Linked DNA regions of Mus musculus. The main gene of each other region encodes a partner of the protein of the gene in region 4 in a complex. Links are inferred from orthologs where the notes say so. Each region holds a gene or a part of one and is shown on either strand. Other genes may lie near its edges.

Region 1 (4,131 bases), on a different chromosome or scaffold from region 4:
AATAGAAAACAAGGCATCCTTGAGGTCTAGGACAGAGAAGTTTGAGATCCCTGAGGGGATGGTAGAGGGGAGACTGTAGAGATTGAGTACTTCAAGGTGGAAGGGAGGTACTGCTGAGTTGGTAAGTCAGAGATCCTGAACTAAGCGATAACTTCCATTGGTTCGCATTGGGGCATTAAAGGGAAGAAGAGAGACACAGAAAATTTGCTTCTGGATAGGTCAGAGATAAGAGGCCTATGTCCCCTGAAGCTTTGGAGAGGAGATGGGTATTGAGCTGGGGTTATATATTTGGTGGGTTTTGTAGTTGAATAAGAAGGGGTGATGTTTGGCTGTAGAGGAGTTTTGGGTGCTCCATGCTTAGGGATCTCCCTGAGAGGCCGGTAAGGGAAAAGGTGTGTCAGCGTGGGGGTTGGAGAGGAGGAGGAGAAGGAGGAGGGGAATGGCTGGCAAATCTGAGGTCAAGCAGATGGGGGAAGCAAAAGAAATGGCAAGGAGACCCCTTCCCAGAAAGGGGGTGGGACAGGGTGGTGCCACTAGGAAGGAATGGATAAAGGGGAGAGGTGTAAGTACAAAGAACGTAGTGGGGTTTGGTGGGCCTGGTAAGGCTGTCTCCTTACTCCGACAACAGGAATGAGGAGAGGCGAGTCTCCAGACTTGGTCAGACCCTGATGTCCAGAAGGAGATTGACCACTCTCTATGATGACCACCTAAGGCTCCCTGTCAGAGACGGTGGTGGTCAGGTCAGGGGAGCTCAGGGCCCCTCAGTCAGACGTAGCCAGACCAAGGAGGTCAGCTGAAGGGCGGTCTGGACTTGATGTCCCTGTGCCATGAGGGACAGGGGGCAGTAAAAACCCTAGTGCCCTTCTTGATGGCACTTTGGACATTGTGAGGGCTCAGACAGGCCTGGGTCCAGGGGCATGGAGGTTCTTCGGCTCTGGGGTTCAGAGAGCCTGGGCTTTTGCCTTGGCTAGCTGAGAGGTCTGAGCCATCATCACATAGTCTTGTTTTCAGACTTTTTCATCTCTGTAGAAAAATAAAACCACTTTTTCCTTTTCTCCATCCCTGCTCCTGGAAGGACAATTCTGAGACTATTTATTTAATAAATGCCTAGGCTACAAGCTTTGGGTCATTCCTGACTAGCTCATAACTCATTACTCTGTCTTTCCCATGGTTAGTTTCCTCTCCACAGCTTCATGCGTAATGAAGTGCAGGGTGAGTCTCCTCCATTCTCTCCTTTGAGCTACGGCTGGTTTACACCCATCTCCTCAGATTGGTCTCCAGCCAATCTCCCTTTTATTCTCTGCTGAGTTCCTCTATGTGGCTGGTTTACAACTGTCTTCTCAGTGTTCCTGGGCAACTCTCCCATGCCTCTATTTCCCAGAATCCTCTCTCCTCCTGCCAGTGTCCCCTACCTATTTCTCGCCTCAGCCCACTGGCCACAGTTACTGACAGGTGTTGCTTAGAAGAGATTCTCTCTCCAGACCTCTCCGATGGTACACCTTAACCCTGACCCTCATACCGTGGAGACTGAGAGAAGTTGCAGCTCATAAGCTCTTTTCCATCCGGTCTTGGGGTCCAGATTGGTGCACTGTAGGAGGGATCCGGTGAAGAGGGCCAGTGCGGCCGTGGCTGGGGGAACCTCCACTTCCAAGAGTAGCACAGAATGGTTACTGGACACTTCCTCAGATGCAGGGAAATATTTTCAGTGACCAAAGGGGAAACTTAGCTAATTGCCACAGGTGTCTGGGAGGGATGCTGAACTATCAGTGAGCCGGAAGGTGAGTCCTGCTGGTGGACTGGAGATGAGGGTCCCAGTGCGGCTCAGACCACAAGGCGGAGCACAGGCACCAGAAGAGCGCATTGAGTCATGGCACCAAACATGGCCATGGTGCAGCTCTGAAGGGAAAGGCTTCTCCTACACAAGCTGGCTCCAGTTGCCCGGAGATTTCCCACAGTGCAGATGTGACAGCTGTGCTCCGGTTCAGGACAGTTTCCCCAGTCGGAGCGAGAGAGCTCTACTCCAAGAGGTATCATGGCATTCAGGAGCCAAGGAATTCCACAGAGTCACACCCCACAGCAAACCTCACACAAGAGATTAGCTGGGAGGGAAAACCCAGGAGAGTGGCAGCCGCTGCTGAGGCCAGAAGCAGCAGAGAACTGGGTAGACCATAGGTTGGGGGGTGGGGTGTTTCCAGGGTGGTCAGAGATTGGTAGGATTTTTTTTTTCTTGCACAGTGGGGCCTGGGCACTTCCCTGCCTTGAGGGGCTGGAATGGCCCTTGTAGTAGTTAGGAAACAGCTGTTAGGGAAGGGGGCACTTTTGTGCCTTGAGGGCTTACAGAGGGATCCACAGCAGGGAACGCTCGAGTCGACTTGAATGACCAAGCTCCCTTCACACAGCTGTTGTCTGTCCTTGGTCGTGGGGAAAGAGGCACTGGAAGCATCTTCTGGCCTACAACCCTGGATGTCCAGCCCCTGGGGACCCTATGATCCCATCCATCCCTGTGACTTCCCTTTAAGACACAGCTAAAGCTCTCTAGGCCAAAACCCAAGCCCCAAGCAGGACCATGCATGGGTAAGGCTAGAATCTTCTACAGGGTGTGTGAGGTGAACTTCATCTTCTCTGAGGACTCCAAGGTGTCAGGACAAAGAGTCGATGGGCTGGCATTTGTGAATGAAGATGTGGTGGGTAAGTGAGCCCAGCTGGGACACCCTGGGCAGGCTGGGGAACGAGGAGGCTGTATTGACAGCTGGCTTGGGCACGCAGCCAGCCTGGACTCTCTCTCTCCTCTCCCTGCAGCCTCCAAAGGGAGTGGACAGGGCACCATCTACCTGTGGAGCTGGAGCCAGACATGGGCAGGCCGGGGCAGACAGTCTGTGTTGCCCGTAGTCATCCTGGTCCGGCTGCAGTGGTCACCCACCAACCTGGCCTACTTTTCACTCAGCACCTGTCCCGGTGAGCCTGCCCACTCTGTTACACTCCCTTTCTGCCCCTGCCCCTCCCCTCCCCAACCCCATCTTAGGCTCCCACTTGCCCTGGCAGGCAAAAACCTCGTGCTGTGTGGGGACGAGGAAGGCAGTGTGTGGATCTATGATGTTGAACACCTCCTGAAAGAGCCTCCACAGGCAACAACTCTGCAGCCCCCAACACAGGTACTGTTGGCACCCTACAGATCCTGGTATCCCTTAGGGCTACTGTTGGGTAGGCAGGAGCCTAGCGCCTTCTTCTTCCCTCCTCAGATCCTGAAGTGGCCTCAGCCAACAGCATTGGGCCAACCAGTGACCAAGACCATGATAAACACAGTCGTGGCCAATGCAGCCTTCACCTACCTCACTGCCCTGACAGACTCCAACATCGTGTCCATCTGGAGGAGATGCTAGTCTGCCTGCACAAGGCAGTGTGTCAGGACATGGCTTGTTAGCTTGGGCTAATGGGAGAGGGCTTTGTACCAGTGAGTATTTTTTATTAAATTCTCTATTGTAGAGTGGAGGCCAGTGGGAAATGAGTGTAGTCACACAGGCTCCACTGGGGTTTCTACCTTGGTTAACTCAGGCAGGCCCAGCAGCCTGTGGTTCAGGTCTGAGTGACAGTCCACACACTGCACAGCCCCATTTTCTGCTCTGCTTTTATTAGGAAAACAACAGTCTATGTACAGAATGGGGCAGAGCCCCGTGCCCAGCTAGAGAGCTGAGAGTGGCTGTCGCCATGTGGTAAACTGAAGGGCCCTGAGGAGTATGTGCCAGCCTTCCAGCCACTAAGCAACGCTTCTTTCAGCTGCTACTCAATTCCTTCTTGCTTGTCCTTGATGGCCACCTGAGGGGGACAAAGGCAGTGACTACACTGGAATGACTCCAGCATATTGGTGCAGCACCAAGACACTGGGGCTGCAGTCCTTGCAAATGCAACACTCCAGAGGACACGGCAGGGGGTGGACCAGTCTCCAAAGGCTCCAGGTACCTCAGCAGGCTTCCCCCACCCTGCCCTGTGGCATCTGCTTGCTAGGGAGCCAACTGGGACATGCCTGCCCAGTGGGGTGAAACCTCAAAGGAGGCTTACCTTACACGGAAACCCCAGACCAAGAACTGTGCTACCCTGGGAAGAACGGCTAGACAAGAGCCTGGAGTCTCTGGG
Region 2 (4,122 bases), on a different chromosome or scaffold from region 4:
CGCACTGTTTTAATCCCAGCACTCCGGAGGCAGAGGCAGGTGGATTACTGAGTTCGAGGCCAGCCTGTTCTACAAAGTGAGTTCCAGGACAGCCAGGGCTATACAGAGAAACCCTGCCTCGGAAAAAACAACAACAACAACAACAACAAAAACCAAAAACCAAACAAAAAAAAAACCCAAAGTCTGTCCAAGCTTAGCATAAATGCATTTATTTTTCTTGAATATCTTCAGTTTGATATTGGTTGCATATACAGATATCGGACCTAAATATACAAAGGACTGACTTTCATGATAATCACAATAGCCGTGATTGGAATGAGATTGTAATACAACTGCCTCTTTCATGAATTTACACAAATACAGTACTAATATATCCATCTAGGAACATTAGAATTAACCCCCCCACAGATCATTTGCTACAGTTTTAATAGGAATTCTTGTTGAACACAGTTATTAATAAAGGAACACTCTGACTTTATTTCTCAACAGTTTGTAGAGCAGGAAAGGAGAAAATATAGTTGGCTCAACTTTTTGTTGCTAACTTAAAGAATGCAATTCCTAGATACTAGAAGCGTGTGTGCATAGCTGTATTCAGATCACTGCAGCACAGAGCAAAGAGTGGTAAGATAAGAAAGACAGTACTGCAGGCACAGCAGTAAACAGAAAATGGACTTGGGAAATGTGTATCTCATCTGCATATGGAGTCTCGGACATGGATTACTCATGTCTTCCTTAGGTCATTTATGTGAGGTAAACAGCTGAATGAGACATTTCCAACACTACAGTCTGAAGCACTATCGGTACTTTGAGACTTCAAGGCACACCAGCATACCCTAAGTGACGGAAATGAAGTAACAGATATTCATACAGCACATTAGCATCCAACAGAGTATTTAATCAAAAGGACATTTACGCCCCTTCTTTAGAATAATCTTGTTACATACACAAAGTAAGTATACTTAGTCAAAGAATCTGATATTGAGAGAGATTCATTGATCCGACAGCCTAGTATCACCAACAGGGAATCAACTCTTAACAACAAGTCAATCCACGATGCCATTTTTAAATTCAAAATAGTATCTAATATGCTCACGCTACTTCATAAGTCTTGATTTAAAAAGACTTTTACTTAAACAGTCATAAAAATACATAAAAACAACCACCAAAATAAAAAAAAGCTTGATGACTAAATATGCCATACATTAAGTCTTATCCTAACAAAAATCTTACATCAACTTCTAACATATATATTACATAACTTTCTAATATGACTCTCCTAGCCTTCCAGAAATAAAATATCTGAAATGATACTTACAAAAACTTTATCTTCAACTACATTGTCTAGATTTAATTGTCTTGTGATCTCTTTCAGAGCAATTTTTTCATTTGTCTGCAGGAGTCCTGAAACAGAGTACAATTAATGGTGTCTAAATAAAAAGAAGCAAGTATTTGACACAGATTATTTTCCAAGTAAATGTATTTTCTAATGCTTTTAAAAATTTAATTAGAAAGAATATAATCAGATTGCTATTTCATATTACTTCTTCTAAAAATATGGTAATCGAAGCATTCCTTGGAGATGGCACTATTTAAGAAAAAAAAACTATTTAACTATTTGAAAATATACACTTTTACCATATATACTTTCCTTTAATATCTAAAAGCCATTAAACAGGCATACAGTTTTTAATATATAGACAGACTTAAAACACAAATGAATTTATTATCATCATATGCAAAACTAGTTCACATTGTTTCTTAATGGAAAAATAATGATATACTCACCATTTAAGTGAACTTGTATCACATTTTCACTCACTTCTATTTCCATGAGTTCTTTCAAAGCATGATTTAATAACTAAATATAAAAATGTGTAAAATGTTTAATTTGGAAAAGATAAAATGAAGCTATTCTTTCTTAAAATCATAAATGTTGAGAATAAATATAAACAAATAAATTACTTTATAGCTAATAGGTTTAGATATATACAATTCATTATGTCTAAGTCTAATGGCAAAGCCTAACTGAAACTTTAATATCTTAATAATTTATATAAACTATTAATAAACATTGGAAGCAATCATAAAACCTTCTTTTGTAATCTCTATGACTCAGTACATTTTACTATTCAGTAACATTTCTCTACCAGGTGCCACTGAAAGCAGTTAAAAGCTATAGAAAAAAATAAACCTAAATAGTTGTAAAAGGTTTGTCCTCCAATGTCAATTTTATGCAACACTGTTGATAGTCTGCATATTGTCATGAAATAAGAAATAGCAAATAGTTAAAAAGAAAAATATAAACTATTTACTCATGAACAAGAATAGAAAAGCATAGTGATGAAATTTAGCTGGACGCAGCAGCAATTAGCCTGTAATCCCAGCACTCAGGAGGTGAAGGCAAAGAGTGAGAAATTGAAGAGTCAGGATGACCTGCAACCTGAACTATATGAAATTGTTTCACAAACAAATAATCAAAACAAAACAAAAAACAAAACAAAACAAAAAACAATACAAAAGTTAGTAAAAGGTTAGATGAAATTGTAAGATTACCAATAATAATTACTATGAAAATGTACTTATACTGAGAATGTATTATTGTAATATAAAATTTGTAAATGAAGAAGATTAAGGGCAATGTAAAACACTTTTATTCACATCAAAAATGGTCCAGGAGACACTATTGCATATGCCAGCAAGATTTTGCTGAAGGGACCCTGATATAGCTGTCTCCTGTGAGGCTTTGCCAGTGCCTGGCAAATACAGAAGTGGATGCTCACAGTCATCTAATGGATAGAACACAGGGCCCCCAATGGAGGAGCTAGAGAAAGTACCCAAGGAGCTGAAGGGGTCTGCAACCCTATAGGTGGAACAACAATACGAACTAACCAGTACCCCCAGAGTGAGTGTCTCTAGCTGCATATGTAGCAGAAGATGGCCTAGTCGGCCATCATTGAGAAAAGAGGCCCCTTGGTCTTGCAAACTTTATATGCCCCAGGACAGGGGAGCACCAGGGCCAAGAAGTAGGAGTGAGTGGATAGGGGAGTAGGGCTTGGGGAGGGTATAGGGGACTTTTGGGATAGCATTTGAAATGTAAATGAAGAAAATATCTAATAAAAAATGTGGGGAAAAAAGATATAAAATTTAAAAAAAAAAAGTGGTCCAGGAAAACAGAGGTTAGGTGTACATATAAGTAAAGAGAGTAGACAGATTTTACAAAAGGATAGTAAACATAGAAATTAACTTTGGTATGTGTGGATTTTAAGCACATGGAATTATACACAGGTACTCTTGATCTAGATTCTCTTAAAAAAACAAACAAACAAACAAACAAACAAAAAAAAACAAAAAAACCTCTCTGGGTACAACTGTCTGACTTCTGTAGTAGTTCAGCTGAGAAGAAACAATAAAAGCAACCATAAGAGATAAGACAGTACTTTCCTATCTTTCAATCAGATCGACTCTATCACAAGAGAACATCTGTGACTCATACAAACTTTCTCCCTAACAACACTACTTTCAACGTATTTTTAAAAAGTATTGCATTGTGTGCTGCCTCCTATCTCTTACATTTCACTGACATTTATATTTTACTTGGGAGCCATTTTGTTTCAATTCATGAATCACACATTAGAAAACATTTCAAATCCTTTAAAGGATAGACATTAGTAAAACTTTTTATCTCCTAAGTGTATCAAGAGAGTCTGAGCACTCTTCCACTGAGCTCATCTACACAAGCTTGCTTCCTTTGATTTGTACACTGTTATGATAGACGGTACAAAGAAAGATAAAATGTCCTACTAAGCCACAGGGATCTGAGACTTCTGTGAGGCTCAGCCACTTATATAATCTAAATACAGCAAAAAGAAAAGAAAAAAGAAAAACTAAAGAAAATCTCACTCCAGGATTTTCTCCACAAAACAAAATTCATGCAAAATCCTTGCAATTCTAAGGAGAGGAAAAACAAAAACAAAAACAAAAACACCTGTGAGGAAGCCTATAACCCCAGGCAGTAGATACATTAAGGAAAACAATCAAAACCACAAATGTATTTTACATAGTTCTTCTGTTGAAAAAAGTTGTTAAATTAAAGCAAAAGAAAATTATAAAAACCAAACAACA
Region 3 (4,712 bases), on a different chromosome or scaffold from region 4:
TAAACTGTCTGAGAAAAAAAATAGGGAAACAACACCCTAAAGAAAGAAATTGAAGAAGATATCAGTTAGATGTAAACTCTCCCATGCTCAAGGATAGGCAGGATTAAAATAGTGAAAATGACCATCCTACCGAAGGCAATTTACAGATTCCAACACAATTTTTTATAGACCTTGAACAAGCAATTCTCAACTTCATAAGAAACAAACAAACAAACAAACAAACAAAAACCACAGGAGAGCCAAAACAATCCTGAGCAATGAAAGAACTTCCAGAAGAGTCACAGTCCCTGACCTCAGGCTGTAATAAAGAGCAACAGTGATACAAAACACCTGTGTGATACTGATACAAAAACAGACTCACAGATCAAAGTAAATGAATCAAAGACCCAGAAACAAACTCACATACCTATGAACACTTGATCTTTGAAAAAGAAGCCAAAATTATACAGTGAAAAAGAAAGAAAGAAAGAAAGAAAGAAAGAAAGAAAGAAAGAAAGAAAGAAAGAAAGAAAGCAAGCACCTTCAATAAATGGTGCTGGTCTAACTGGCAGTCTGTATGTAGAAGAATGAAAATAGATCCATATTTATCATCTTGCACAAACCTCAAGTCCAAGTGGATCAAGGATCTCAACATAAAACCGGATACATTGAGTCTAATAGAAGAGAAAGTGGGGAAGAGCCATGAACACGCTGGCATAGGGAAAATGTCCTGAATAGAACACCAGTGGCTCAGGCTCTAAGATCAAATATTGATAAATGGGACCTCATGAAACTGAAAAGCTTCTGTAAGGCAAAGGGCTCTATCAACAGGACCAAACAGCAGCCTACAGATTGGGAAAGGATTGTCACTAACTACTTATGGTAGAGGCTGTGGAGTAAGGGGAATACTTCTTCATTGCAGGTAGTAATTCAAACTTGTACAACCACTTTGGAACCAAAGTGTGTGTGTGTGTGTGTGGTAATTAGATTTCCTCCACAGGCAGTTGTATTGTTCAATAATACATAATGGGCCTCTTTCTAATATGGGTGCCGTGTTTTCCTTGTCTTTTTGCACTGTTTATGAAATCTATGTGTAGCAGACACTGCGTACATTATCTTTTATTCTTAAAAATACTCTACTATAGTCCTTATGTTCTATATAAGGAAGTTTATAAATAAACGGTTCAAAGATTCTCCCAACATCTCAAAATTCAGAAAAAGTTGAGTCAATGTTTCCAGACCAAATTTTTTTTTCAGGACCCAAAGCCCTCTCTTTGGACACGAATTTTCTTATTCCTATACATTCTTTCATTTCAAGGCTTTTCTTCTTCCAGGTGTCCTATAAATGTGCAAGGACAACGTTAATTTTACTGATTACCCTCACTAACACTCGAATACTTCCACATCTAGTTTCAAGCTTGCAAAGACAAACAAATGATTTTATTTAGTTAGTTCCACAGAGTTCCCATTGTCCACTTTCTTGCCAGAGGAAAACCAATTTTTTTTTAAAGAATACTCGTTTCTGTCGGTACTTTTATGTGTGCGGCTTTCTGGAGGGAACTGAAGACACAGAAGGTGGGCGGTGAGGTGCCCCCAGGTCGCCCTTCAGCTTGTGTAAGGGTTTCAGGCTGGAAAGCTCAGGCCAGAGTGGGAAGCGATAACCACTTACCAGTAACCGACCACTGAGCACCGCCGCCTGGAGACTAGAGCGGCCCACGTTGTCGCGCGGCTCCCTGACGTCACTCGACCGCGCTGGCTCCGCCCCCAGCCCAGGCTTCCGGCCGGAAAGCTTGCGGTTGTTCTACGTGAACCACGCCTGAGTGGCGCAGGGCTGACCGGAGGCCAACTGCTCTGCAGTATCAGGTGGTGCCCGCCAAAATGTCTCACTTGGAGAGCATGGTCCTCTGTCGAGAGGCCCAAGTGTCCACTTTGCAGTCCCTGTTTGGAGAGGTATTGTAGTCAGACTGCTTCCCAAATGCCAGAGGCGAATGCGTCCTGGATCCGTTCCGTTTGGGGGGAGTACTGTGTGGATTGCGAGGCGGTAGGCTATCCCCCTTATGTTAAGATGGAGGTGCGGTATGACTGCCCCACACTTACCCAAAGAAACTTCTCAGTCTATTTTAAAGGAGACTGCAGAGGAAGAGCTGGCCTGCTCTACAGGACGTCGGCTAGGAAGTGCTCCTTTTACTTGGACCACACTTTGGAGATTATGTGAGCCCCAAATAGCTACTGCAAGTTGCTGCAGAACAGGGTTTGGGTAGGAAGTCTGTTTGCAGAGTGTTTACTAAACGCCAGTTCGCCCGTTGTAGTGAGGTATAGATTGGGTCAAATACAGAGAGGTGATTGGCTTCAAGGCCAATTAGGGTAACGCTGTGGTTTAGCCTTTAAAATCCTTCAGCTTTTCTAGAATTATAAAAGCCAGGAGAAGTCTCGCTTGGGTTTCTCTCCCTGCCGACCAGATGAGATGATTTAGAGGGGAGAGGTTAGCCTCTGAAGTGAACACAGGCTGAAGTAACATTCATTTCTCTCAGTTGCCTTGCATTGTGCTCATTAATTAGAATTGATTGCACTTGGATCTTATCTGGGAGATGAGCAAATACAAATAGCCATTTAGTCTTCCTTTAGAAATGTACTTTCATCCAGCAGAGTGTCGGATCCAGTGCGTCTGTGGTGGCAGATGAAATAGTCATGGAAAAGTACTTCCCTCCATCTAAAAGGCGTCATGTTAGCAATTCTAGAGGTCAGCTGCATCTGTAGTTCCTAGTTATAATGCTTTCAGTTATAGTTACCTATATTATTGAAATGTATAATTGTTTATGCTCTGTACATTCCTTCATTGGACTTGATAAACCCAGATTATTCTAACCAAAAGTACTCCTCTTTTTTTGAGGAATACTTTATTAGCAAAATAAGATAGGTAGGGCTGATTTAGCAGTGGGTCCCAGAAAAGGCTTCACCTTTGCTCTTATTTAATACTACATCTAACAAAAACAATATTTTTCTTCAAGGAAGTTTGCATGTGGGAAATACAAAGAACCACTATAGCAAATAGCTACAGAAGAAAAAAGAGCTAGCTATGCTCGTAGAAGACTAATTTATATGTTTAGCAAGTGTGTATTTTCTGAGCACTGGCTCTGTGTGTGGCACTGTGCCAGATTCAGTCTTGTGGCACATGTTGGGGAAAAGTTAAGTGACAGTGGAGTCAGAGTTCATTTCAACTCTAGGTGACAATGTGAACGTTGTTTAAAAGGGGAGCATGCTGGTTAGTTTTGCCCTCGTGGGAAGAGAGAACATAACTGAAAACAAATATGCCTCCAACAGATAGTCAGTAGGCAAGTCTGTAGGACATTTTCTTGATTAATGATTGATGTGGGAGGGCCCAGCCCACTGGGAATGGTACAACTCCAGGGAAGAAAGCAAGCTGAGTAAGTCATTAAGACACCTTCCTCCGTGGCCTCTGCTTCAGTTTCTGCTTCTAGGTTCTTGCCTGGAATTCCTGCCCCAACTTTCCTTCATGATGAACTATAACCGTCAAGCTGAAGTAAACCCTTTCCTCCACAGGACGCCTCTGAGCATGCTATTAATCACGGCAATGGAAGCTTGTATGGGCAGGGAATACTGTAGTAGGCTCCAAAGAGTAGATGTATACAAGTGTGATGGGATTCCAGATTTCATCTAGCTTTGGAAAGAAAGAAAAACAAAAAGTCATGAGCTTCCTTTTTGCTTATGAAATGATACCTGAAATTATTTTAAAAATTTATGTCTCCCCAGTAGATGTTTGAAGCCATCAGAGTCTACCCTGTTTGACACTGGTATCTGTGCTGCTCAGTCGCTTATAATTTTATAGGATAATTCCATAAGGGGACACACGTTGAGTTGAATTTAAGTTCAACTTAAAGTATTAGGCACACGCCTTTAATCCCAGCACTCGGGAGGCAGAGGCAGGCGGATATCTGAGTTCGAGGCCAGCCTGGTCTACAAAGTGAGTTCCAGGACAGCCAGGAACTACAGGGCTACACAGAGAAACCCTGTCTCAAAAAACCAAATAATAATAATAAAAAAAAGAATATGTATATACCACTGAAATAACTTGGATTTAGTGTTATCCTGTCTTTTCTTTCTTAGAGACATCATTTCAGCTTTCCGTCCATCTTTATTTATGGACACACTGCCAGTGGGAAGACCTATGTAACACAAACATTGTTGAAAACTTTAGAGGTAAGAATAACCCTAACCCTGATGTGGACCTTTATTCTTACGTCACTAGAGACGGAATGAATCGAGACAATTTATTTCACCACCCAGTGCCTTCTCTATCTGCAAACCAGGGCAAGTAGAGTCAGCTTTGGGATTGTTAGGTACTAAATGTTAACGCATGAAAAATGAATTGCAGTTCTTATTATAAACAGTTATAGAAGTATTTTAGATGCTATTTATTTATGAATATTATCATATACCTACTTATGTCCTAAGCCAGCAGTAAGCCATATCTATTTGAGAAGGTATGGCTGTGATCTGCAGCAAGTGTGTACACAGAAACAGATGTGCAGGCCACAGCTTCAGGTTGCTAACTCTGGTCTTGCCTTAGCTCCGAGGATGCATATTTAAGATGGCCTGCTGAGTTGCTCTGAAAACTTGCATTTGAAAACTTGTCTATGAAGTATCCTGGAGATAATTGTTGAATAAAAGCATGAAAATCCAGTAAGGAGTTTTATGTTTAAGGAATGTATTAT
Region 4 (4,122 bases):
AAGGCCTCCTTAAGACCCAGGTATAGACCAGCCTGTAAGGCATTGTCTTAATTACTGATTGATGGGGAGGGCCCAGAGCATTGTGGGTGTCCTAGGTTCTATAAGAAAGCAGACTGAGCAAGTCAGAAAGTGTAATCCAGGAATGCAGCACCTTGGCCTCTGACCAGCTCAGTCACTACCCTGACTTCCTTTAATGATGGACTATGATGTGGAAGTGTAAGCCAAATGTCTTCCCTCCCCATTTGCTTCCAACTTGTGTTTTTTGGTCATGGTGTTTCATCACAGCCATAGCAACCCTAACTAAGACAGTGATTATTTGTGCATGGGCTTGTTTGGGTGCACATTTGTATGCAGGTAAATGTGGAGGCCACAGGACAAACTTGGGTGCTGTTCTTCAGGTGCTGTGTGTGCTTTTTTTTATCAATTATTCCTAAAAAGTTGGTTTTTTTTTCATTTTAATATGAGTGTTTTGCCAGCATGTATGTATGTGCAACACGTGCGTGCAGTGCCCGAGGAGGCCAGAAGGAGTCAGATGCTTTGGACTGAACTGGAGTTACAGTTGTAAACTGCCATGAGGGGTCTAGAAACAGAACCTGGATCTGTGCAAGAGCAGCAAGCGTTCCTAACGGCTAAGCCACTCTCTAGCCTCGTCGTTTATTCTGAGACAGGGTCTCTCACTGGCAGGGAACTCATCAAGTAGGCTGGGCTGGATGGTCAGTGAGCCCTGAGCTCAGCCCCTCCCTCCCCCTATTTCTCTAGCACTGGGATTGCAAGCACAGACCACATCTAGTTCTTTAGAAAAGGAAAGAGTTCATGAGACTGAACTGAGATCTTTACAGAACAAGCCATTTCCCCTGCCCCACGTCAGTGACTTGGTAGGAAATTCAAACATGAAAACTTAAAGATCAATTGCTCTGAATACAAACACATGATCTAAGTGGTCTGAAGCCTAAAGCAAAATCCTTTATATACAGTGTTCAGAAGCAGAAATTGTACTATAACAGTTAAGGGGCCAGGACGTGGCAGAGGACATAATATTACTCCTTTAACAGTAAACTTACTGATTTCACACTGACGCCAGGAAAGTAGCCGTTGATGACAACATGAATGGAATCTTGAAGCATGGTGGTTCGAAACTTTTCTAGTAAATCTCTCTTGGACCCCAAGCCATAAAGCACAATGTTGAACCCAAGGCTGTAAGGAAGGACAATGTCTGTAAAATTACAGCATGAGACTCCTGACTGCCAGCTTTATCCCCAGTTTCTTTCCAGCTCACAAGGACTGCAGAAAAGAAAACCCCAAAGAACAAAGGGTAATGTACAAAGAGCAGCCCCACCGTGTACACCTCTAATCCCAGCACTGGGCGGCAGAGGCAGGGCTGCTGTAATCTCAGAGCCAGCATGGTTTACAAAGCAAGCTTCAGGCTAGACTCTGCCTCACAAATACATGAGTAAATCAAAAGTGCAGGGCGGGGGCCGGGCGTGGTGTTGCGCGCCGTTAATCCCAGCACTCGGGAGGCAGAGGCAGGCAGATTTTTGAGTTTGAGGCCAGCCTGGTCTACAAAATGAGATCCAGGACAGCCAGGGCTATACAGAGAAACCCTGTCTCGAAAAACCAAAAAAAAAAAAAAGTGCAGGGCGGACTGGGGCAGCTAGACAGCTAAGCTGCTGTGTTCACCCTTCACAGTCCCAGTGTTTGTCAGCTTTTTCTGCAGCCTGACGTAAGAGGAACCACGGCCGATCCTGCAATGTTTCACATGGGCTACAGGAGAGTTGAAATGAACAAAAGAATGAGCAACAGTGAACCGCACTACCATGTTAACTGTACTTTCCTACACTAACGCACACCTGAAAGTGCCAGCATTAGCTGGAAGGTTTGACCACAGGGAAGCAGCAGATGCTTCTGGAAAAGCTACAGTACAGGGAGGCAAGTAAGGAGGAGGAACAGAACTGCCTGAGTTCTCGCCTTCGCTCCCCCAATCATCATTTTATAACTACAGCCATACTATACTATGATGAAATCAACTCTTTGCTCCCCAGGTTGCTTTTGGTCCTAGTGTTTGATCACAGCATCAGAAAAACAAATACCACAACAGCGTGAGTGGGAGTTAGGGGAGGAACTTGGCATACACGCCTGCCATTAGGTGTTACCCTTGGACCCTATTCCTACAAATTGTCCTCTGACCCCTACATGCACTGCAGCGCGCACACACTCACATTCACACATACAATACAAATGGAAAAACTAAGCAACGATGAAAAGGGAAAGTGCTCCTAGAGCAGTGCTCTCGCCCACTGAGAGGGCCAACCTGTGATCAATACAGCAGCAGACTATGGTTTCTGTTTGGTTAAGGGGTTTTTTTTTGAGACAGGGTTTCTCCATGGAGACCAGGCTGGCCTCAAACTCCCAGAGATCCACCTTCCTCTGCCTCCTGAGTGCTGGGATTAAAGGCGTACGTCATAACCATCCTGGCATTGTTTTTGGGTTCTGAGACAGGGACTCTCTAGGTAGTCCTGGCTGTCCTGAACTCACTATGAAGACCAGGCTGGCCTAGAATTCAGAGATTACCTGCTTCTGTTTCCCTAGAGCTGGGATTAAAGGCACATGCCATCACACCTGGCAAATCATGTTTTAACACAGACATATACTTATTCTTCATTGTGTAGGGCTTACAATGATAACTTACTGTAACTGAAGCATCCATTTATGAAACAGTTTCTCATGCTGTTGATTCAATCGTTCAATTTCAGCAGAAAAGGAAGGCACAAATTTTCTCAGTAAGTTATGCAGAGTTTTCTTTGAAAAACAAGAGAGACAAAGTTCTTAGTGGAAATAAAGACTTAAATCAGGTATGATCAGAAGTGTACCAATTGAATGTTAAAAAAAATATGTCACACATGGCTTAAATACTTGTTTAATTAAAAGTTATTTTTAAGGATTTAGGGTTTTTTATGTGTATGAGTGTTCTGTGTATAACTGGTGCCTGTGGAGGTCAGAAGAGCACATCAGATCCCCTAAACCTGCAGTTATAAAAGGTTGTAAGCGCCGTGTCTACAACTCCTCTTAAAGTTCTCCTTTTTTTAAAAAAAGATTTATTTATTTATTATATGTAAGTACACTGTGGCTATCTTCAGATGCTCCAGAAGAGGGCATCAGATCCCATTACAGGTGGTTGTGAGCCACCATGTGGTTGCTGACATTTGAACTCAGGACCTTCGAAAGAGCAGTCAGTGCTCTTAACCTCTGAGCCATCTCTCCAGCCCCCAAAGTTCTCCTTATTTCAAGTATATAAAAACAATACAAAGCCAGGCGTGGTGACGCACGCCTTTAATCCCAGCACTTGGGTGGCAGAGGCAGGCAGATTTCTGAGTTCGAGGCCAGCCTGGTCTACAGAGTGAGTTCCAGGGCAGCCAGGGCTATGTAGAGAAACCCTGTCTCGAAACCAAAAAAACAAACAAACAAACAAAAAAAAATACAAAACTTTAACAATACAAAACTTTGCTAAGTTTGCCTAGAACCATTTAAATGATTACAACACACTCCAAATATAAAATTTTAATCTAAAAATATAGGTACTGGCTGGTGGTGGTGGTGCACGCCTTTAATCTCAGCACTTGGGAGGCAGAGGCAGGCAGATTTCTGAGTTCTAGGCCAGCTTGGTCTACAGAGTGAGTTCCAGGATAGCCAGGGCTACACAGAGAAACCCTGTCTTGAAAAACCAACAAAAAAAAAAATTAAAAAATATATAAATAAAAAATAAAAATAAGATATATATAAATATATATATGTATTTTACATATACATACATACTATAAAATGACCAAATATGCTTCTCAGTGTTCACACCAAATTCAGACAGACAAATACAAATCAAAGAAAAAAACAAAACAGTGATACCTCTCCAAGCCTATGAGTTTGGGGCTGTAGCTCACTGCCAGAGTGCTTTCTAACAAGTATGAGCCCTGAACTGAACTCTGCATAATAGTAACAACATTAAAACAACAATCAGAGAAAACCAAACCTGTAGCTTTGAAAGACTGTAAAAAGTAAGGTAATGATAAAATATTAATTTTCAGAAAACATTAAAGTTTCTTTATAATTTGCCATCAATAATAAACTTGT
Region 5 (4,122 bases), on a different chromosome or scaffold from region 4:
TAGAGGATAAGAGTAACAGTTGTTTTCTGGGACTTTTGTTTTTATGTCTACTGGAAATATATTCGTTAAATTTTCAAAATAATATATTCCTTGATACACATTTTTTTCAGAATTATTGCAATAAGGATATTTTGACAGAAAGGCTGACAGGAGAGAACAGTTTTAAAACTATATAAAGTAATACATATTAGGGCAGAGATAATTCTCAACTGTTAGGAGCATTGGCTGCTTTTGTAGAGAACTGGGGTTGATTCCCAGGCCCCACAAGCAGCTCACAACTATCTGTTGTTAGGTCCAGTCAAGGGGATTCAACACTCTCTTCTGCCTTCCTTGGCAGTGCATGCACCTTTTAATAGGATTGAATTCTAAAAAAGAAAGGGTCTGGTGAGATGGTGTAGCAGTTAAGAGCACTGGCTTCTCTTCTGACGGTCCTGAGTTCACTTACCAGCATCCACATGGTGGCTCATGTCCACCTATAAAGGGATCTGATGTCCTCTTCTGGCATGCAGGTGTTCATGCAGACAGAGCACTCATACATAAAAAAATTAAATGGAAAAAAAGGCCATGGTGGTGGCTCATACCTTTAATCCCAATATTTGGGAGGCAGAGGTAGACAGATCTCTAAGTTTGAGGCCAGCCTCCTCTACATAGTGAGTTGCAGGATAGTCAGGATTACCTATACAGAGAAACCCTGTCTTGAAAAGCTAGAGGGGGGCAGGAGGGGAAGGGTTGGGGAGGGGAAGAGAGGAGAAGAGAGAAGAAAAGACAAAAAAGAAAGTAATACTTATTAAATCAAAGGCTGGAGTAAACTATTAGGACAAAAAAGTATGAAAAATTATTTGATAAAGTTAAAGATGGTATGGATGAAAACATTGATGTTTACCTTGAACTGAAAGTCAGCAAGTCAATGCTTAGAGATTCTTAGTAAGAAATAGAACTCTAAAATTTTAAATGTCCTTTATATTATGGTAAAAATTGAGATTTAAAATTAAATACAAATGATAAACTATATTGTTTTTCTCCAAATGTAAAGGAGACATGTATATGTAGATACATAGTTTTTGGATGCATAGAGGCATAGAAAATGTTTTGAGCAGAGGCAGGCGGATTTCTGAGTTCGAGGCCAGCCTGGTTTACAGAGTGAGTTCCTGGACAGCCAGGGCGATACAGTGAAACCTTGTCTCGAAAAAACCAAAACAAACAAACAAACAAAAAAAAAAACCCCAAAAAAAGAAAAAAAAAAAGAAAATGTTTTAATCCCCTCTCCCATGCTGTTTGTCTCTATGTACAGTCTCTTAATTTTATTGTGTTAAAAAAACTTGACTTTCTGGGTTTTTTTTTTTTTAGAGGATTATTTTAATAATGAGGAACTTGACTCTGAGGACAGTAAACTTCGATTTGAAACATATAGCTTGCTATGGCAACGGATGAAATCTGAAACAGAGGTGAATAATTTCCTTTTTACATTTCTGTAATAAAATAGTATGAGTCTTGTATTTACTTCTCATATCTAATGATGTATAAGAGTATATATAGAAAATGAGAAAGTACAATCAAACACAGCCTATATACCACAAGTAAAACATGTGTCATGTTCTAAAGTTATGTATGGCCTTCGTCGCTGCAACATGATCATTTCTAAGAAAAAAAAAAAATCACTGTGGTGAACTCTTAAATTCAGTTAAGAGGTTACACAAGTCTGAAATGAAGCCATTTCGAAATTTGTGCTAGCATCCAATTTTTGCTGTGTTTTGGTTTGCTTCTTGAGACATAGTCTTAAGCTCAGGTTGGCCTAGAGCTTACTGCATATTGGCTGTGAATATCGTCAGTATAGTAATGGCAGCAGCTCCAGTGCCAGCCGCTCGTTCGGCTTAAGCGACGCGATGCTATAGTGTCTTGTTTTTGAATGAGAGTTGCACACAATTTTTATGTGGGTGCTAGGAATTCCAACTTAGGTCTTTCTGCTTGCACAGCGTGCACGCTTACCCACGAGGCATTTTTCCAGTGCACCCGCTGTCCAGTCTCTTAGTGCTTCCCATCTGTCTTTACTACTTTACACTCCACAGAAGAGGGCATTGAATTCACTGTGGTTGGAGTTAACAAGGAGGGAACTGAGCTCCAGCCCTCTGCTGAAACACTGTACACAAGCTCTTGTCTAGGCTTCTTAACCTAGGTTACAGATGCATTCTAATGGTGGTTATCTGGGAGACTGTCTGCATAATGAGGCCATCTTTGGTAGCTAGGTATCCTTCACTCTCACAGTCCTGTAGCTTGGTGTCCTTATCCCTCCCTGCCTTAATCCCCAAACTTCAACCTGTCCCATTAACTTTACCCACAGTTTTTTTCTGATTGTCACTTTCAGCTATTTTGCCCTTTTATTCCCTCTCAATACACTGTGTGCTTGCTCACTGTGTGTCAAGATATGTGTGCATGTCCCATTCTGTCCCCTTCCAATACATTGTTTCTGCTTGTTGTGTGTTAATACAGTCTATAGGTTTCCCCCTCTTCTCTTCCCTTTCAATACAGTTTGTGCTGGCCATTGTGTGTTGATATCTGTGGGGATTTTTTTTTTTTTTTTTGAGTTTTTGAGTTTTTGAGTTTTTTGAGACAGGGTTTCTCTGTGTAGCCCTGGCTGTCCTGGAACTCACTTTGTAGACCAAGCTGGCCTCGAACTCAGAAATCCGCCTGTCTCTGCCTCCCAAGTGCTGGGATTAAAGGCATGCGCCACCACTGCCTGGCATCTGTGGGGTTTTTTACCCGGTTGCTCTATTGCTGCTTTATCTCATCAACTAAAATTACTGAACATTCAAAGGGAAAAGAAAAATTAAAAACTACACCAGGAAAGAAAAGAAATACAACTACTAATAACTCATGAAATTTTGTTTTCTTTGCAGCAATTACAGGAGGAATTAAATGAAAATCTGTTTGATAACCTAGTTGACTTTCTGCAGAAGTCCCATCCTGAATTCCAGAAAAATTCAAGAGACTGGGGCTCTCAAATGAAATTCAGAGAAATTCCAACAGCTGCTCTTATTCTTGGTATGTATGCATATCTGTGCATATTTTTTAAACTGGTTTTGCTATTGATACTAGTGGAAAATATCTTGTTATGATAAAACTCCTACAAATTAAAACAACTGTGATTTGACTTACATACTTTGTAAATGTTTATTATATATTCAGGTATCTGTAGATAAAAAGAAATTGACCTAGCTACATTACTAGTAGAAGAACTGAGGAAAACTACAATTGTTTTTTTAGTCTTCTTCCTGTGTGTTTTTAGGGTAATGACATTTGAATTCAATAATAAAACAGTAGTGTGTTAGTGGATTTAATTATTTCTACTTTCTTAAAACAATCATATCTTCAATGAAATTTATAATACTTATTTCTTGCACTTGAAATCTTAATTCAGATTCTTTTAACATTAATTGCATAGAGAAGAATTTGTATAAATTGTATATAAATTACTTCCAGATTATGTTATAATTTTTTAAAATATTCATCAATAATATCTAATTTAGAGCAAGCATATTTCAGGATAATACAAAATATCTGATTTATTAACAGTAGTTTTTTCAGGTTACCAAGAAAACCAGAATAAATAAGACAAAGAAAAAGCACAACATGTAGACACAAAAGTACAAGATCAAAATATATACTCAAAAGACCATTAAGACCAAAAAAATGCCTAAACACATCAATATGAGACAAAAAGTCTCAGAAGTCCTACTGAGTTCATTTTTTGGAGGCCATCTACTGCTGGCTGTGGGGCCTACCCTCAAGGGTGGTTAACATGCCCAATGAGACGCCACTGAAGAAAACTAACTTTTCTTCTGGGGGGTGTGTGTATGAATATTAAACGTTTCTCTATAGCTTTATTCCCCCCCCCCCCTTTTAATGGGTATTTTCTTTATTTACATTTCAAATGTTATCCCCTTTCCTGGTTACCCCCTTCCCAGAAACCCCATTTCCCAGCTCCCTTCTCCCTGCTTCTATGAGGGTGTTTCTCCACTCACCCACCCACTCTGTCTTCCCTGCACTCAATTCCCCTATACTGGGGCATCTAGCAAGCCTTCATAGGACCAAGGACCTCTCCTCCCATTGCTACATAGGCAGCTG

The links.
Region 1: the proteins of Orc2 (region 4) and Lrwd1 are in contact, whole or in part, in a crystal structure (PDB 8SIU), measured with the Rattus norvegicus proteins. The link is inferred for Mus musculus from reciprocal best matches to the Homo sapiens genes ORC2 and LRWD1. Residues at the interface, in NP_001012003.1 of Rattus norvegicus: Val11, Pro12, Ser13, Val14, Gln15, Phe16, Val17, Gly18, Asp19, Val22, Leu23, Ser24, His25, Ile26, Leu27, Asp28; in XP_038945348.1 of Rattus norvegicus: Pro262, Leu263, His264, Phe265, Leu266, Gln267, Cys268, Ser270, Asn273, Ser274, Pro275, Leu320, Val321, Leu322, His323, Lys324, Tyr325, Lys326, Leu367, Val369, Gly372, Phe373, Cys374, Pro596, Pro598, Val599, Ala600, Val605, Ile630.
Region 2: the proteins of Orc2 (region 4) and Orc4 are in contact, whole or in part, in a cryo-EM structure (PDB 7JPP), measured with the Homo sapiens proteins. The link is inferred for Mus musculus from reciprocal best matches to the Homo sapiens genes ORC2 and ORC4. Residues at the interface, in NP_006181.1 of Homo sapiens: Asp501, Asp504, Tyr508, Ser512, Gln518, Glu522, Val554; in NP_001177808.1 of Homo sapiens: Lys168, Asn169, Arg195, Glu200, Leu201, Lys204, Arg205.
Region 3: the proteins of Orc2 (region 4) and Orc5 are in contact, whole or in part, in a cryo-EM structure (PDB 7JPO), measured with the Homo sapiens proteins. The link is inferred for Mus musculus from reciprocal best matches to the Homo sapiens genes ORC2 and ORC5. Residues at the interface, in NP_006181.1 of Homo sapiens: Val240, Glu241, Tyr243, Phe244, Glu245, Ser248, Asp396, Gln398, Arg401, Gly402, Glu403, His426, Asn428, Ala429, Pro430, Leu431, Met432, Trp433, Asp434, His435, Gln438, Trp445; in NP_002544.1 of Homo sapiens: Asp324, Lys325, Phe328, Leu329, Leu359, Asp360, Arg361, Ala364, Tyr367, Ser368, Ala378, Asn379, Phe381, Ser382, Gln383, Thr385, Ser386, Thr389, Asp400, Gln401, Leu402, Asp403, Tyr407.
Region 5: the proteins of Orc2 (region 4) and Orc3 are in contact, whole or in part, in a cryo-EM structure (PDB 7JPO), measured with the Homo sapiens proteins. The link is inferred for Mus musculus from reciprocal best matches to the Homo sapiens genes ORC2 and ORC3. Residues at the interface, in NP_006181.1 of Homo sapiens: Leu239, Glu242, Tyr243, Ala246, His247, Asp268, Arg273, Leu276, Val279, Ser280, Phe283, Glu286, Leu287, Leu290, Lys296, Leu297, His299, Lys300, Met302, Leu303, Gln304, His306, Leu307, Phe309, Tyr314, Gly315, Leu316, Arg320, Glu324, Arg327; in NP_036513.2 of Homo sapiens: Thr3, Ser4, Ser5, Met6, Ser7, Lys8, Gly9, Cys10, Phe11, Val12, Phe13, Lys14, Pro15, Arg20, Ile22, Ile26, Tyr29, Phe30, Lys32, Tyr47, Val111, Thr112, Lys139, Asp318, Lys326, Gln329, Leu330, Leu333, Tyr337, Glu589.

Annotation. Positions count from the first base shown.
Region 1 is NC_000071.6:136,122,424-136,126,554, reverse strand, and holds the end of Lrwd1 (leucine-rich repeat and WD repeat-containing protein 1), read left to right. Parts: intron 1-2,596; coding exon 2,597-2,688; intron 2,689-2,799; coding exon 2,800-2,955; intron 2,956-3,042; coding exon 3,043-3,152; intron 3,153-3,239; coding exon 3,240-3,380; 3' UTR 3,381-3,489; downstream 3,490-4,131. Other genes in the region: Polr2j (DNA-directed RNA polymerase II subunit RPB11), read right to left, coding at 3,778-3,813. UniProt on the Homo sapiens protein: Required for G1/S transition. Recruits and stabilizes the origin recognition complex (ORC) onto chromatin during G1 to establish pre-replication complex (preRC) and to heterochromatic sites in post-replicated cells.
Region 2 is NC_000068.7:48,931,765-48,935,886, forward strand, and holds part of Orc4 (origin recognition complex subunit 4), read right to left. Parts: intron 1,859-4,122; coding exon 1,786-1,858; intron 1,402-1,785; coding exon 1,316-1,401; intron 834-1,315; coding exon of another isoform or gene 795-833; exon of another isoform or gene 1-794. UniProt on the Homo sapiens protein: Component of the origin recognition complex (ORC) that binds origins of replication. DNA-binding is ATP-dependent. The specific DNA sequences that define origins of replication have not been identified yet.
Region 3 is NC_000071.6:22,547,409-22,552,120, reverse strand, and holds the start of Orc5 (origin recognition complex subunit 5), read left to right. Parts: upstream 1-1,782; 5' UTR 1,783-1,857; coding exon 1,858-1,929; intron 1,930-4,104; coding exon 4,105-4,197; intron 4,198-4,712. UniProt on the Homo sapiens protein: Component of the origin recognition complex (ORC) that binds origins of replication. DNA-binding is ATP-dependent. The specific DNA sequences that define origins of replication have not been identified yet.
Region 4 is NC_000067.6:58,473,748-58,477,869, forward strand, and holds part of Orc2 (origin recognition complex subunit 2), read right to left. Parts: intron 2,797-4,122; coding exon 2,687-2,796; intron 1,195-2,686; coding exon 1,062-1,194; intron 1-1,061. UniProt on the Homo sapiens protein: Component of the origin recognition complex (ORC) that binds origins of replication. DNA-binding is ATP-dependent. The specific DNA sequences that define origins of replication have not been identified yet.
Region 5 is NC_000070.6:34,604,454-34,608,575, reverse strand, and holds part of Orc3 (origin recognition complex subunit 3), read left to right. Parts: intron 1-1,347; coding exon 1,348-1,445; intron 1,446-2,894; coding exon 2,895-3,039; intron 3,040-4,122. UniProt on the Homo sapiens protein: Component of the origin recognition complex (ORC) that binds origins of replication. DNA-binding is ATP-dependent. The specific DNA sequences that define origins of replication have not been identified yet.